2 linked regions of the Alligator mississippiensis genome follow. The protein of the gene in region 2 binds, or shares a complex with, the protein of the main gene of each other region. Links are inferred from orthologs where the notes say so. Each region holds a gene or a part of one and is shown on either strand. Other genes may lie near its edges.

Region 1 (7,811 bases), on a different chromosome or scaffold from region 2:
TAAAATTCTTATTTCATCTCAGACTGCAAGTGAAAGCAAAACCAAAACTAGAACTGTGATTAATTTGTGTTTCACTTTCAGTTCAGCAAACACACAGAGCAGTGTCTCATTTCTTTTCTTGAGTTGGGAAAGTTGGAAGTGTTTGCATAAGGTCTGTTAGTTTTTAGTGCTTCCGGTTTGAAGTAGTCATCATAATGACTAATCAGAAAAAAATATAGTGTGTAGCATCATTATAGTGAAGTTTAAGCCATTGAAGGAAGGAAGAAAGTTGGTAGATGAAAATATTGTGGGCAGAAGTATGCCAACAAATCAACAAGAATGAAGAAACATATAATAGCATGTAGAAACTGTCCTGAAAGAATACAAGCCATATACATAAAGCTAATACAACAAAGTGGTGGAACAGCATCATCTGAGAAAAGTCTATTTCAGGAATCCCATGCAAGTAAACACATTAATATGCTAAACAACACACAGTATAGACTAGCATCTATATTGTTTTAAAACATTATAATTTAAAAAGTTGTTAATGCACCTCTGGACTATTATTTATTTAAAATATTTGTATCCTGATTTTCTGCTTGCACTAAGCACCTAAAGTAGCTTAGGCTTAACAATATATTTTTTTAAATTACATAATAGATAATAAGCCCTTGTAACTGATAATATGAGTAGCATGAAAGCTGCATGGCAAATATTAAAGGCAAAGTATCCTCGTTTAATAGTATTTGGGTGTCTTGCTCATGGGTTGAATTTTTTGGCAAAGGACATAGTAAGTGTGAATACAATGAAGACAATATTGGCAAATGGCAAAGCAATTGTGAAGGTATTGAACAATCATCATGCTGCTAATCAGACTTTGAAGAAATTACAGAAAAAGAAACATGGAAAGGAAAGTGCACTTTTATTGCCAGGAGGAACTAGATGGAGCTTGGATACAAAGTGTTTACATAGTCTGCTGCGCACAAAGAACTGTCTGCAGTGTGCTTCAATAGATAACACAGTATCCCAGAGTATTCCCATGAACATTCGGAAGCAGGTTCTCGACAATGATGTGTTCTGGGTTTGAGTTCAAGGAGTATTCAATTTGCTGCTACCAGTTTCAGTGGCTATCAAGAAACTTGAAGGAAATGCACCAAGCCTTTCAAATATTCCAGAGATATTCAGATAACTGAATGAAAATCTAATTAAGCTTTGGCCTTCTTCATCTCTATCCAAAAAAGAAATAGTAAAATAAATGTTTATTAAGAGATCTGAGTTTTGCTTTCATCTAGTTCCTCTGGCAGCAAACTTTTTGGATCCTCAACACAGAGGACAACATTTATCGGAAGATGAACTATCTACTGCTCTTGATACAATTATAGAAGTAGCTGAGAATGTCCCCAATATCGACGAAATAGCCATGATGACAGACATTGCCGAGTACCGTGCAAAAGAAAAACTTTGGAGCAAAGACATAATTTGGCAGGAAACAGAGAATGCCTCCTTTCACAAGGTGGAAGAGATACTATAGTACTGGACTGTTGTCCACGATTGCTCCAAGGATCTTAAGCATTCCACCAAAAGCAGCTTCTTGTGAATGGAACTAGAAGGCTTTCAGCTCAATCAAGACAAAAAAAGAGGAAAAACTAATAAATAAACGCACCACTAAGCTTGTTTCTATTTCTCAAAATCTCTTGCTTCTGAAGAATCAGTCAAGCACAATTAGTGAAGAGGATGCAGTGTGATGATAAGTTGCCCTTGCCCATAGACTCATTGGTAAAACCATCCTCTAGCAAAAGAGAATGTGGTTCAAGTAGTTCTGAATCATATTTGCATCAATCTAATTCTGAACTGGAACTAATAAGTAGTGCAAGTGATTCTACAGATAGTGACAATGAATCTGGAGATGCTGCAGTGACCTCAGTGGACAAGAGTTAAACTCTGTAGATGAGTGGACAACCATGGCATATCATGCACAGTTCTTTGGGTGTGCTAAATTTAGTGTGTCAACAGTTTTCAGTGCCTTCTCTTTTTTTTCTTAAATTTAAACAAACAATGTAAGGGAAGTTCATGCTATAGTGTATTCTTTCAGGGGTTTAGGTTGTAGCCGTGTTGGTCTAAGGACATAGTCAGACAAGGTTCCTTGGGTGAATTTGATATCTTTTATTAGACCAACCCAAATAGTTGGAAAATAATTATTAAGCAAGCTTTCGGGTTCAAAAACCCTTCGTCAGTGTATTCTTTACATTTTTACAAGTATTCCAATAATTTCTTTCCACATAAAGCTTTGAATTTGTTTGAATATAAACATTAAAAGCACATTAAGTTGACTATTTATTTTTTTTTTTCTAATCAAATATTTCAGTTCAAATACTTGTGACTATTGGGACATAAAATTAACATGGGGGTACTTTTTTAGTTTTGTTTACTAAATATAAGTCAACTAAACATGCTAAATCAGATCTCGCTCTATTTAGGGCATTGAAAATTTTCTGGAAACATTTCCCAATTCAAAATTTTGCGGAAAACCCACATCTCTGTTCACAGCACTTTCATATTCACAAGTAAAATAAATACACAAGTTCCAATATGTATCATTTAAACATCTTAATTTTGGGATTATTTCTAAAACTTTGTAAATTGTGAAAAGCCATATAAAAAGGTTTTGGGTTTTTTTTCCCCCCCCTTAAGTGGAATAAAAAAATATTTCAACATCCTGAAGTTCTCATATAAAAACATAGGAAAGTCACTCTCACATATTTAGATTTTCTAGAAGAGAAAACAATTCTCAATCAAAAAATGCTTTTAACCTTCAGAGCCAAACAATCTGAGCACTACAGAAACCCTTAGACTTGGCATATGGTAAATACATAAAGATGGTTCTAGTGCTACCAACTGTCGCAACACTGGGAGATTCTGCCCTTGCTCAGCATCATCCAGTAAACTGGGCAAGTATCCTCATGTTACAGAATACAGTATGCCTGAGTAGATTTATAACCATCTGCAAATCTCTTTTCTATATTTCTATGAAGATCTTCATAGTTTTGCCACAAAGCCACTCCTAACAAAGTTAGATCCTGGAATTCAAAACAGGACCATTAATAAGTTGGATGGAGGCAAAGGACTAAAATGTACATGTAACATATATTCTAAATGGAAGCTTGCAGTGCTGCCTCTGTTCCTAATTCCACACCTGAGTGGAATTCCAGGCCCCTGAGTGTTTTATTCACTTAAAAACAATCATTCCTAGAATTAAATTGGAAAAACAAAAAAAAAGAGCAAATGCAACCTATGAATCTGTTTTCTGTTTTTTAGGTCAAATACAAAAGAGACTTTGAAGAAAGCAAAGGAAGAGGATTCAGCATTGTGACTGATACACCTGAATTACAAAGACTGAAAAGGACTCAGGAACAAATCAGTAATGTATGTGACTATATCCTACAGTAATGGCAGGTCAGAGAAATAGTATGTGTAAGAAAAGGCATGACTGTAGGTTGGTGGTGTTTTGGATGATGTTTGTGAGGGTGAAGAAATTCAATTTGCTGACTGACTTGCGTGTGTTATATTCTTAAAGGTGTACAGTCTATACCATACACTTACACAGCACGTAGGCAATGTGTGTTCACCTCTCCAGTTTTCATCAAAGGTTTTCATAATACATGCTTATGGTACAAAGGTTTATATGCATTGTACTTTTTAATTTAATATTCCTGTTTGCAAAAATATGTGTTAATGTTTTTGTATCTATTGTTTGACAGTTTTTAACAAGAATTCTCAAAATATGCATAGGTTATAAAATGAAGTTCTAGAATACAAGAAGATTCTAATATTTAATTTTGAAAAAAGTATCCAGGAAAATGCCTTGCAAGATGAATTAAGAACAAGAAATACTAGTGATGCAAAATATTTTCATGTATCTTCTCTTACCATCATTAATGCAAAATAGTACCTTCAACACCAAAAATGGTCCCTAACCTCCCAAGTCTTTTGGGCATTTCCAGTTTGTTTATTTATGTTTCTATATAGGAGACTTAGCTGGCTTTACAAGCTGGAGAATTGTTACAGTATATAATTATAAAAGCCACCAGATATTTTTTTAGAATATGTGTTCCTTTAGGTAATTCTGCCTGCCAGAGCTTTTCTCTGTATGCAACTTTAAAAACAATGTATTTTTTAATTTATTTTACTCATAAAACAAGATGGTTGCACAGCACCAGGAGGACATAGTTGATGAAATATGTTTTCATAAAAGTTGGTTTACTTGTAAGAAAAAATATTTTTGAGTAGCATTGGCTGGGAAATTTTAGGCAAAATGATTTTTCATTAGAAACAGCTAATTTTCTAACATGGAAGCATACTAGTTTTGTTGCAACTTCCATTAGGATAGGATTTTGTTGCCTAGGATGCAATTTATGAACAGAGAGAGAGAGACCATCCCAGAAGAGTTAACTTAGTGGGTCAGACTTTAATCTTGGCGGTAGGAGTCATAAGTTTAAGTCCCTAGTCTAAACTACTCTGTTTTCAATTCAGACTAGGGACTTGAACCTGGGTCTCCCACATCCTCTGTGGGTGTTCTAACCACCTGGCTATATTGGCTTGCTTGGTCTAGGGTAGGGTTTTCAAAATTTTTGAATGTGGGGCTGGATCATGAACTTTTTATCACCCAGTGGGCCGGCGAGCCATGTTCAAAGACCTCACAGGATTCGATGTCGCATCCCCCCCCCCCCCCCAAAAACGGAAGTACAGTGTTTACTTTCATTTCCCATTGCAGCACCTTGGGCCTTAGAAAACAGCTTGGAGGGCTGCATGGTGGCCCGTGGGCTATATGATGGACAAGCCTGGTCTAGGGTCTCTATCAGTGTCTCCTGATAGAGCTGTTTCACTTAAAGAAAAAAAAAATAGACCAGAAAGAGGGGAAGAGTGACAGAAACTGACTGCTTCTGTAGCACAGTGGGTGTAGCACTCATGTAGAAAGTATTAAACCCTACTCCAATAATTTTTATTGATTTGTATGAAGTGGACAGAAGAAAGATCAACTGACCCACTTATATACCTGGCTGTTAAAGGATAGGGCACTCACTTGGGAAGTTAAAAAGGTAGGTCTACCACATTCCAGGTATCTGCCATCACCAGGACATTGACTGGTTTAATTTGGGGTTTGTCTCTCTCTCTGAAACAATGTGAAAGGTTTGTTCTGATGTGGAACATGCATGTTTTTAAAATTTCAAGAACCTGTCCTGCTCTATTTTTTGTGTGGGGAGAACGGTTTATCTGTTGTCCTCCAGGACCTTGGTGCTTAACTTACCATATTGACTGACTGTTGAATGCAGTACATTAGCATTTCTTTTCATTATAGAAAAGTTTGGGTTGGTTTAGGTTGCGATTATTTTATTTTCTAGCTTCCTTTGTCTTTGGAGGGGAATACAGTTAATGCCTGGATTTTGACCTCTCATTTCTTCATTGCTAAAAAGTGTTGTGACATTTTTTTTCTATACATATAGATGACAGGTAGACTTGAAATCAAAGAACTTTTTTAGTAGCTGTTCATTTTAAAGGGTACAATGCAATTAAATGTATGTATGGTAAAGGTTAAGTTGCATCAATTATACTTATTCTAAACTTCTTTAGATATACTGCAGTACTTTGTAGAAGGATAATTGTGCATTGCATTCAGTTTTAACTAATTAGGGAATAACTATTTTACAGATTTTTTTTCTCCACAGAGTACTTTGTGTTTAACAGTTTAGATTAAGGATCTAATTAAAATTAAGATGGTTGAAAGGTAAGTTCTTTCTGCTTACTAAAATTGTGTGGTTTTTAATATAGTGAAATAAAAAATTACTAAATATTATGTTTTGATTTTTAGTTGTTCTTTGACTTTTCCCTGCCAAGTACCAGACACTTCCCAAAGATTCTCTTTGAAACAAAAGTGCAACAACTTCAGTGAGTGGGTAAGTGAGCATGCTCTGTGCATAGCTGTCTTCACTAGAAGGAGATCTTTAAAAAACATTTTCTTTTGTCTTGATAGTAAGTCCTGCAGCACTCATGAACATTCTCATAATGATCTGACTCCTACATGCTACAGACACTAGATAAAGATACTACTTGGTTGTAATGAAAGTATAACGTAAAAGGAAAAGCTAATATGATGTGGACAAAGGAAGAAAAGGGGATGTTAAATCTGAGTCTTGAGCACTATTTCCATAGCAGTAAACCAGGCACTGAAGTGCTTAGACCAGACTAATACAAATAGAATAAGTACAGGTCCATGACAGAGCAAAAATTAGGGTGAAGTTTCTTAGAAACTGAATGGTAGTTTAAGAGTGATGTAGCCACGCTGGTGAGCTGGTAAAATTATGAGACAAGGATTTCTTAGGGTGATATCTATCTTTTAATGGACCAAATGTATGGTTAGGATACAGGTAGACAAGCTTTTAAATGCAAGAAATTCTTCATCAGGCCTGACTAGAACAAGCCAAGCACCGCATAGTAAAAAAAACAGTTGTAGAAAGGGGTGAGAGAAACTGCCAGGGGTACCAGACATACAATTAGTAGAAGAAACAAAACTGATGACTGGGAAATCAAGGTCTATCAAAGGGAGGAAGGCCATTCTCACCTTTCATGTGTGGAAAGAATTCAGGAGTCAGGTAGATTATAATATGCCATAGAAGCATATAAAGTCCTTGGTTCTTAGTGTCCTTAGTTCTTAGTGTCCAGTGTTTTCTCCCTGCAGACTCTGCTCTTACCCTCCCCACCTTGCAGCTACTTAACTTCTCCTTCCAGTTCCAGCTCTGGATGGTCCCTACTCTGTCCCAGGATGGAGAACACAGAGCTTGTGGTAGCTCTGGCCCCAGTCCAGCCATGCAGCAGCTGTTGCAGTTTTAGCATCTTTAGCTCTGGCTCTGGAGTTTGGGACAGAGCTGCTGCTGCTGCTTTGTGGCTGGGCTGGAGGCAGCAGATATGCTCCTTGTTCCCTGACCTGAGCTAGAGCAGGGCCCCAGATGGATGCTTGAGCTGCAGGAAGGAGGGGGCAGTGGGGAGAAGAGCAGAGGCTGCAGGGGGCAGGTGATTGTGGGGAGCAGCAGTCAGAGCTGCATATTCTGCCCCCCTCCCCCCCCACCCCCCCTGTACTTGAATCTAAGATGAGGAGTTTCTTTCTCTGTGTTGAATGGGGGTAAAAAACTTTGTCTTGGATTCAGGTAAATATGGTAAGTTTTTTCTCAGGTTTGCTTCTGATAAATGCTTGTCAAACAGAAAACAAAAGTCAAACAGGTACAGTTTGATGGAAGGGACTGTATTTATGAAGGAAAACCCCAGAATCTAGAAGAGGTTATGCAATATTAGCAACTGTTAGGTGTGCAAATTCCTATGCATGATTCATAAGATAAACCCAGACATTCCAAATAGGAGTCCATAGTGTCAAAAACATTCTGACACAATCTGAGTTCTTTGCAACAGAAGAATTACTCTATTATATTTCCATAGTAAAAAAAAATGAGTCAAGTGGAAGAGCTGGCATTTTTTGGAGGGATGCCTTTAGCCTAACAAGGAGTGCCTGATGTCTTAAAAAATTTGAGAACCGCTAGCCTAAGTAAAGAAGTATTGCTGGCATGGCTGGATAAACAGGATAGCATATAGAAACTTTCATAGTATGTGCCTGCATTACATCTATTTAGTTCTATCTAATGTCTGCCCAGTGTAAGTATTCTGTCAATTTCAAGATAGGGAATTTACTTAACATAAATAGAAACATAAACATGCACATACGGATAAACAGAAATAAGTTTATATCCATAGCTTTCCTCTCTGACAGCTATAAAAGTAGTTAC
Region 2 (7,795 bases):
GCAACAGTTCAAATGGCAAACGACTCCAGCAGAACAAAATCATTTCTAACAAATGTATTGTAAATACATGGCTCTAAATATTCAGGCACAGATGGATCTAGCTATCTCAGCATTAAGCATAATATTACAATACAGTGGTCCCAGGTAAATTGCATACGCTTGGAAAGGTTCTGAGAAACTGTTGCAAATGTCCTGTGCTGCTTCTTTTCCTGGTTAATCAGAATCTTCTTGGGACCTACATGTACATGGGTCTGTCTTGTATTATTGTATCAATTGGTGGGCAAGTCTGTAAGAATATTACAGTATGCTTTGAAAGTGGTCTGAATTCCCTTAAAAAGAAACGGGCTTACTAAGGGCCAAGTCCACTGGCTCTTAATCAGTATCAACTTATTAAGAAAAAACATGGCACCAGGATGCAGAGTTCATGCAGAACTAAGCCACAACGTCTTACTTCAGCTTGTGATCATGGAAGGAAACAAATAGGGAAGAGCAAGTAGACTTCAAAGCATACTTGTGTCCCCTCTAATGCTGCCTAATGCCTATCTGCTTTCCTAATAATGGTTGTGTGACTTATGGTCACTGGTACACCTATGGTCCTGTCAATCTCTTCATGGTCTCTGAAAGTCATGGAGTAATTTGTTGCTCAGGGTATAATTGTAAATCCCATTTAGCTAGGGACCTAGGAACATGCTAACACCTTGTCTGACTACCATTCTCTTTGGCCATGCTTTTCTCTTCAAGTGAAGCCACTTCACATAGTGGCTGCAGAATGAGAGAGAAATGTGCTGTCTTAGCCATCTTTCCCCTCCTTGACTATCCACAGGGATAACAAGGCACTTCCGATCCTTTCCATTCCAAGATAACTGAAGGACTCGGATGCTTTCACAGACAAAAAGTTGGAAGGACTTCCAAAAGGGAGTTCAAAAGGACTTCCACTGATTTCAACTGTACAAGTATTTTCGTAACAAAACAGGGAATGCTTATGTTTATGTTTCAGAATAGAATTGGTGTTATACGCAGTATAGCAAAGTCTTTTTATTGTTCTGTTTGAATAAAACTAAATCCAACAGGGGAAACGGGCTGGGCAGAGTCTGCCCAGTCCTCCACTATGTAAAATTATATGTATAAAAGTTTCAAAGCAGTCCTCTCAGTTTCTGGTAGGAAAGATGGCACTGAAGTACAAGTGGAGTCAGTGACTATGTGATTTCAGGACCATCATACTAATATAATGGTTGTGCAGGAGAACTGCAGTGTATACTTCACCAACGCTTCATATTGGCTCAGGTAGCAGTTGTGGATTTCAGCTCCAAACACCTGTATCCATTAGCTCAAAGTCTGATTGCCCAGGCTTTGTCCAACATTAATTTTACTTGTAAGTAGTATACCATGTACCAAGGAGATAGATAAGATACCTTAATTTTTCAAGTTTTTCTCCTTAACATTTTGAAATGTGTATTTGTGAACCTGTACGTTACACACAAAAGCTGTAAGGAATGGAAACTCTGATACACACTTGCCCTGTGCTGGAGTACTTGAATCAATACCAGTAGTTCTGTAAAGTGACCTTTACTTCATGTTGGTAGTGATGGTAACCACCATCCTACAACAGGTATGGGTTTGCTAACTTTCCAAACTAGACCCAATCTTTTTGCTTTTCTTTATTTTAAGTCATCGACTTTAATACGGGCAGAACACATTCCCTTCTCCTCGGCTTCAGGTGTTCTGGTTGAAAAAGCTTTTTTCCATTTCTGTATTCCAGACTCCTAATTTGTTGATAGTCTCTGCCAAATCATTTAACTGGTCCCTGCCTCAGTTTCCCCATCACTAAAATTACGGCAAACTGCCTCCTTTGTAAAGCCCCTTGCAGTCTATGGAGGAAAGCTAGGTACAGAACAGAAGTTTAAATGAACTGAGTTTTCATTGCTGTAACATCTTCCACCATTGCAAAAAAACCCACCATAAATTACTCGGAGGGTTAGAAAGGGTGTCTTTAGGCGTGTCAGCTGTGGTGGGTAAAAAGTGGGACTCCAAAGTTGTTCAGTCACGTTCAAGATTCAAGTCGACCCCCAGACGGCTCGGACTAGCGAGTGGGTGACCCGCCTTGCTAAGCTAACACGATCCTCTCAGCCACCTCACAGACCTCATGCAGGTGCTCCTGAAGTCGCCCAGGTCCAGCCTGGTCTCGGGGCAGGGCGGAGGCGGGCCCCTGCCTGGACGACCCAGCTCTCTGCTCTGAAGCCCCCATTCGCCCCGGCCCCTCAGAGAGGCGCTGTTCAGTGAGAGGGCTAGAAACACCAGGGTCCCCCGCGCCCCGCGGCACTTCTGGGGCCGCTGCCTCCCGCTGGGAGCTGGCACGCCCGAGCAGCCTGCCCCTCCCGGGCGCCCCCTTCCCGCGCGGTGCCGAGGCGCGGGGACTGGGGCCGCTCGCGGGCTCGGCTCGGTGCGGCGCGTCTCGCCCGGCTCTTACCTTCCTGCCGGCCGGGGCCGGGGCCGGGGCCGGGGCCGCTCCGCCCTCGAACCGGCTCCTGAGGTCATCCAGGGGGATGTGGAAGCGCTCGATCCTGCGGCGCCCGCCGGGGGGGTCCTCCTTGGCCACCTCCGCCCCGGCGCTGGGTGCGGCGCTGCCTCCGCGGCTGCTCTTATCCGGCGGCAGGCTGGGAGCTCGCCCGTCCGGGCCGCGGCCCGCCGCCGCCCCGCTGCTCTCCTCCCCCTGCGGGGGCCGCGGCAGGGCCGGGGCCGGGGCCGGGGCCGGGCGAGCTCGCCTTCCCTCGGGGGCTTGCGAGCGCCTGCCGCGGCGGGCGCCGGCGGAGCCGTAGGGCCCCCGGGGGCTGCCCTTCAGCGCATCGCTGGACTCCCACCGCTGCCGGAGGAGCTCGAGGGAGCCCTTCTGGATCGGGAACTTGGCCAGCTCCAGCGTGCCCTGCAAAGCGACACGCGGCGGGGTCAGGGCATGCGGCACCGGCGCGGGAACAGCCCCCCGCCCGCCCCCGCGAAGGCATCCTGCAAGCCCCGGGCGCCGGGCGCGGTGGGGCCCTCGAGGGCAGCTCAGGCCGGGGCACACTTGGCCCCTTGTTCAGCAGAGGGGCCGAGGGCCGAGTCAGCGCGCTCCTGACATAAGCAGCCTCCCAAGGGAAAGAAAAGCCCGGGCTGCAGGAAACAGGGGCAGGAAAGAGCCCGTCCCCTCTCATTTCCTGACAGGCATCACAGGCTGTTATGTGGAAGCCCCCTTATTGTTCAGAGCTGGGAAGAGCAGCATAAATAACCCCTGTGGTTGAAACAAATAGCATCCCAGTCTCAAGGGTTGGAGCACTTCCAACCTTGCCTGGCCTGGAAAAATTTACTGTAAATGCACCCACTTTGAAGTGATGTAAGAGCAGCGTTTTCATTGCAGTGAACCTGCTGCAAATGGAGACCCCCCTCCACTGCCCTGTACTTTAGAGTCAGGGCTTGGACTCAACATGTCTACCTGCCACAGCTATCAAGAAACTGGAAATGCAGCAGACCTTTCACAGTTGGAGCTGTACTAGCCTAAATAATGGGCTGCACACAGCTAGCTAGAATTGTCTGGCCACCAGGGCTGGGGCATGTGCAGCCCTCTAGACCCCTAAGCTATTGGCACTCCCCTGTCCAGCAGAGGGAATTCCATTGATGAACAGAGTGCCTCCCCTGCCAGACAGCAGGAACTGTCTGCCACCACAAATGTAGATTGGGAACCAGAAGGACCAACTTTCTATGTGTCCTAACTAGTCAGTAGCTGGAATTTATGCTTGTCTTGAACACAAAGGACAGAAGTATTTTTGCACGACTTGAGGAAAATGCTCAACAACCTGATAGTCTCAAGAGTTTAATCAGTAAAGACACAAGATACAACAACCAGGCACGCTCGAGTCCTTCTTGCACAAACTAGGCTGAAAAACTCCAGTAGCAGTAAATTCCTCTGGACCTGACTCAGCATCTTTCCCTGGTAAAAAATACTGGTGGGACTTTGATGCCAATCTAGGGCACACATTTAAATAGGCTCTTCACTAGTAAATTCTGTCTGCTGTATGTCCCTATGTAGCATTCAGTGGCTAGTAGGCACATTCAGAAAGGTGAGATGCCCTTTTGTATTCTAGTAGTTTTGTGCGAATGGAGGAAGGTTGTGGAAGGCAGCTTATTAAGTGTCACAGCTGTTGATGGTGACCTTATCAGGCTGGTTAAAGAGATAATTGATCCAAGGCTGCTCCTCCTGTTACTATAGCATCATACCTGCACCAATAACGTGTGTTAAATCTTTATTCCAGAGAACTTTTTATGTTTCTGCTGTGGGCACAGTTAGAGATGCCAGTCACAGACCACCATGAATGTTCAGTTTCCCAGCTAGTTTGCTGGTAACTTTGGCCAGGAGCATATTAAAGGTAATTAAGGGAAGGTAATTGAAAAATATGTACGTGTTGCTGGGGTTTTTTTTGCCATACCGAATGGAAGAAAGGGAAAATAGTGATTATTTATATTTCACCTATTTCATTCTCTTACATTAAATCCTTCCTTGTTGCTTGAATATTTTACAGTTCTGTTAGTTATACTTTGCTTTCTCCTTCAAACATGTAAAGGGTAACCAAATATATTTCAAACTGAGATCAGTTACTTACAAACCCTGATTAAAGATTCTATCTGAAATGGGTATGAGTTACTAAACAGTATCTTTGTGAACTGGTAAAAGATTGCAACTTATAAGAAAATGAATGATCAAGGTAGATGCATTTTACTGAAATCACTGTGCTATCAATCAATAAGATGACAGTTACATGTGTTCATTTTAACAAGAAAAAAAGGACTTGGCCTATGTTTTAAGGAATGAAGTTAAGAGCAAGTGACAAGAACTGAGTTTGAGTTCTTCCCTGCCATGCATTTGCATTTTCACAGGCCTGAATTTTGCCTTAATATTGACTTAAGCTTCTCTTCAGCCCTGGAGAGTAGACAAACACCAGCAGTCTCCCCATGCCTGAAGAATGGTGCTTGTGCCCAAAAGCTTGTGAAGAACAGTTTTTTCAACTATTCAGTTAGTCTAATAAAAGATATCACTTTTTCCCAAATATCCTTGTCTGACAAGCTAGAGCAGGTTAATCTAAAACAGCAGTATCTCTGTCATGGGAGCTGGAAAGAAGTATTATTGCTTTTATATTTTTTCTGTATGTCTTTGTGTCCCTATAGAACAGTGAACTAGACTTCTGCAAGACACTGAGTGTTGCAGTTGAAGTTCAGCATGTTCTAGTTCTGGCCTATTTATTGGAAAATATCCAAAGTGGGCAAGGTCATTAATTAATCTTGGGAAACATCATCTCCTGCTAGAGGCGGTGGGACTAATTTGAGTAGTAGGTTTGTTACTGGTAATGGACTAGGAAAAGGATGTGATGTGTGTGGGCAGACAGAGGCCAAACGTAAGACCTGATCCCACAGTCATTGGTTGCAATCAATGGCAAGCACACAACCTTCTGTGGGAAGAGGATCTAGCCTTGAAAGAGGTTTTATAACAATGATGTTTGGCAGGTTATCTTTATACATTAGTTATTGATATTTAGTATGTCTTATATGCAGTGGGATTATTGTGTCATTGTTTCCCTTCGTAATACGGTACAGGCTTTTTAGACTTAGCAACAAACAAGGTTTTTTGCATTAAGTTTTGGGCAAGGAAGTAAAACTTTCTCATAAAATGTGATAACTTTAGAATCCAGAAAAGGATGTTTTTATCAGTTTCTGAAGTGTGATTCTAGCCAAAATTAACATTAGTACAGTGATGCCCACTGAATGAATCAAGGACTCCAGGTACTTGGTCAATTAGGGCCCAATTCAAATTCCAAGGAAGTCAGCAGAAAGACTCCAATTAACTTTCACAAGCTGTGGATAAGAGCCTTAATTTTTTGTTGCCTGTTGACCCTTGTCTTGGATCTACTCCCACACCTCTTCCATGCAGGTTCCTGCCTCTTTTTAAACATGTAGCTAACTGTTAATCTTGAACAACCTACAGTGTTCTGAGTGAAAAAGAAAGTATTCTCAGTAAGGGTATGAGCAGGGTTTTTTTCCTCCCCTTCATAAAATAAATTGTGGCCTAATTCACCACTGTGTCACTGCAGTTTTATACAGATCTGATTCCACTGAGAGCAAGGAAGTTGCACTAGCATAAAACTGGACTATTGCAGTGGTACTCAGCTTCCCCCCCTCCCCCCATGCATTTTCATGATTATAGTATTATAATATCAGTATCATGGTATAGACCCTTATATCCACACTGTTAATATGTCAGTGCAGTACATAAAGAAAAGGGAAATGGGGGTGAGGAAGCTAGGAGGGCAAAAATACTTAAACACATGAAGAACTATCTGTAAGTTTCTGCCCTTACTCATTCCTTGGTGAAATCATTCAGTGCACAAAGAGAAGGTAAATAAGAAGAGGTTAAGACAGGGGTTTGAAAGATGTGGCCTGCAGAGCTTTATCATCTGGCCTCTGATGCTGCCCTTGGGTCTCGGAGTAACCCACAGGCAGCATGTGAAATGTGCCAGATGACACCCCCTTCACCTCATGTGCCAAAGGGGTGGAACAGCCACCATGTGCAGCACAACCTTGAAGCAGCCACACCTCATGCAGCAGTCAGTCCGGGGCTGTGATGCATATGACAGCTGCTCCACAGCTCTGAAACATGAGCATGTATGGCACCCACTCCAGATTTGGAGTGCAGTCTAGTCCAGCCCCCAATGCCAGTCATCTGACCCCTGGGGCTGGTTGCGTTTAACACCCCTGGGATAAGAGGTAGATAGGAATTAGTTTATTTAAAGGTACGTAGGCCAAATTCTGTGTTTGATAATGCTTGTGTAAATCTGGAATCTCTCTCATGCATTCAGTAGATTAGATTTGTATTTACACTGAGGTAAATTAGAAGAGCATGCCTCCTTAAAGCTAAAATGAAGTTTAATTGAAGCCTATGGCATTGCCTTTTAATTGTTTTTTTTTTCCTTTGGACCAGTGCTGGTATCTGACTATTGGACGTTGGTTAACCAATCCATAAAGTATCTTACAGATCCTTTCTCTGTAATGCAGAATGTTTGTGAATAACAGCCACAAGGAGGAGGAGGACAACATTATTTTGCCATTTATTTCCTAGAGCTCTAAACACCATTTAACAAAAATATTTTTTTACACCTCATTGTCTATGGTATATGGATTTATGGTAATTACAGATGGAAAAGGCCCATTAGATCATGGAGTCCTCCTCCATTTCCATAAAGAGCAACAGCAGTCCCCTAGAGAGGAGATATCAGACATTAAACTGATGCTATGCTAGATCACAGAATCATAAAAATTACAGAAAGAAAAGATTTATTATGTCTTAGCTAAGAGGCTAAGAAAAAGCGATGCATTTTTGAAAGCCCATAGAACATAAGCCTTTGAATGCAACAACCTCAGCCTGTTCCTACACTGAGCTTTTTTACTCTAACCCTCTATAATACAAGTAATGTGGGTTCTTTTATCGGGAGTCAGTGAAAGGGGCCTGTGTATTAGTGTTGAATAAATATGTTAATAGGTTAGTGAGTTAAGTGTGCTGTTCAGATATTTTATTTCTGATTTTGCCTGCAGCCTTGCAGTCTGTCATGAATGGAAAAAAGAGCTAGTGCACAAATAGGGAGAATTTCAGACAGGGTAGGGGCTAATGAATGAGTTCTGGATAATCAATGCATGATGCTCAGAAAGTTGTTGTGACAGGCAACCGCTGTGTTCTCTCAGATTTGATATAGCTGTCAGTATTGTAGGGTGAGACATA

The links. Proteins that work in one complex are often made in the same cells at the same time.
Region 1: the proteins of XIRP2 (region 2) and NEBL are in contact, whole or in part, in a crystal structure (PDB 4F14), measured with the Homo sapiens proteins. The link is inferred for Alligator mississippiensis from reciprocal best matches to the Homo sapiens genes XIRP2 and NEBL. Residues at the interface, in NP_689594.4 of Homo sapiens: Pro2420, Pro2421, Pro2422, Thr2423, Leu2424, Pro2425, Lys2426, Pro2427; in NP_006384.1 of Homo sapiens: Tyr963, Asp964, Tyr965, Asp969, Asp971, Glu972, Ile987, Asp988, Asp989, Gly990, Trp991, Met1004, Pro1006, Asn1008, Tyr1009.

What each region holds. Positions count from the first base shown.
Region 1 is NC_081828.1:184,828,704-184,836,514, reverse strand, and holds the start of NEBL (nebulette), read left to right. Parts: upstream 1-4,719; 5' UTR 4,720-5,764; intron 5,765-5,848; 5' UTR 5,849-5,933; intron 5,934-7,811. UniProt on the Homo sapiens protein: Binds to actin and plays an important role in the assembly of the Z-disk. May functionally link sarcomeric actin to the desmin intermediate filaments in the heart muscle sarcomeres.
Region 2 is NC_081827.1:215,887,472-215,895,266, forward strand, and holds the start of XIRP2 (xin actin-binding repeat-containing protein 2), read right to left. Parts: upstream 3,070-7,795; 5' UTR 2,468-3,069; intron 1-2,467.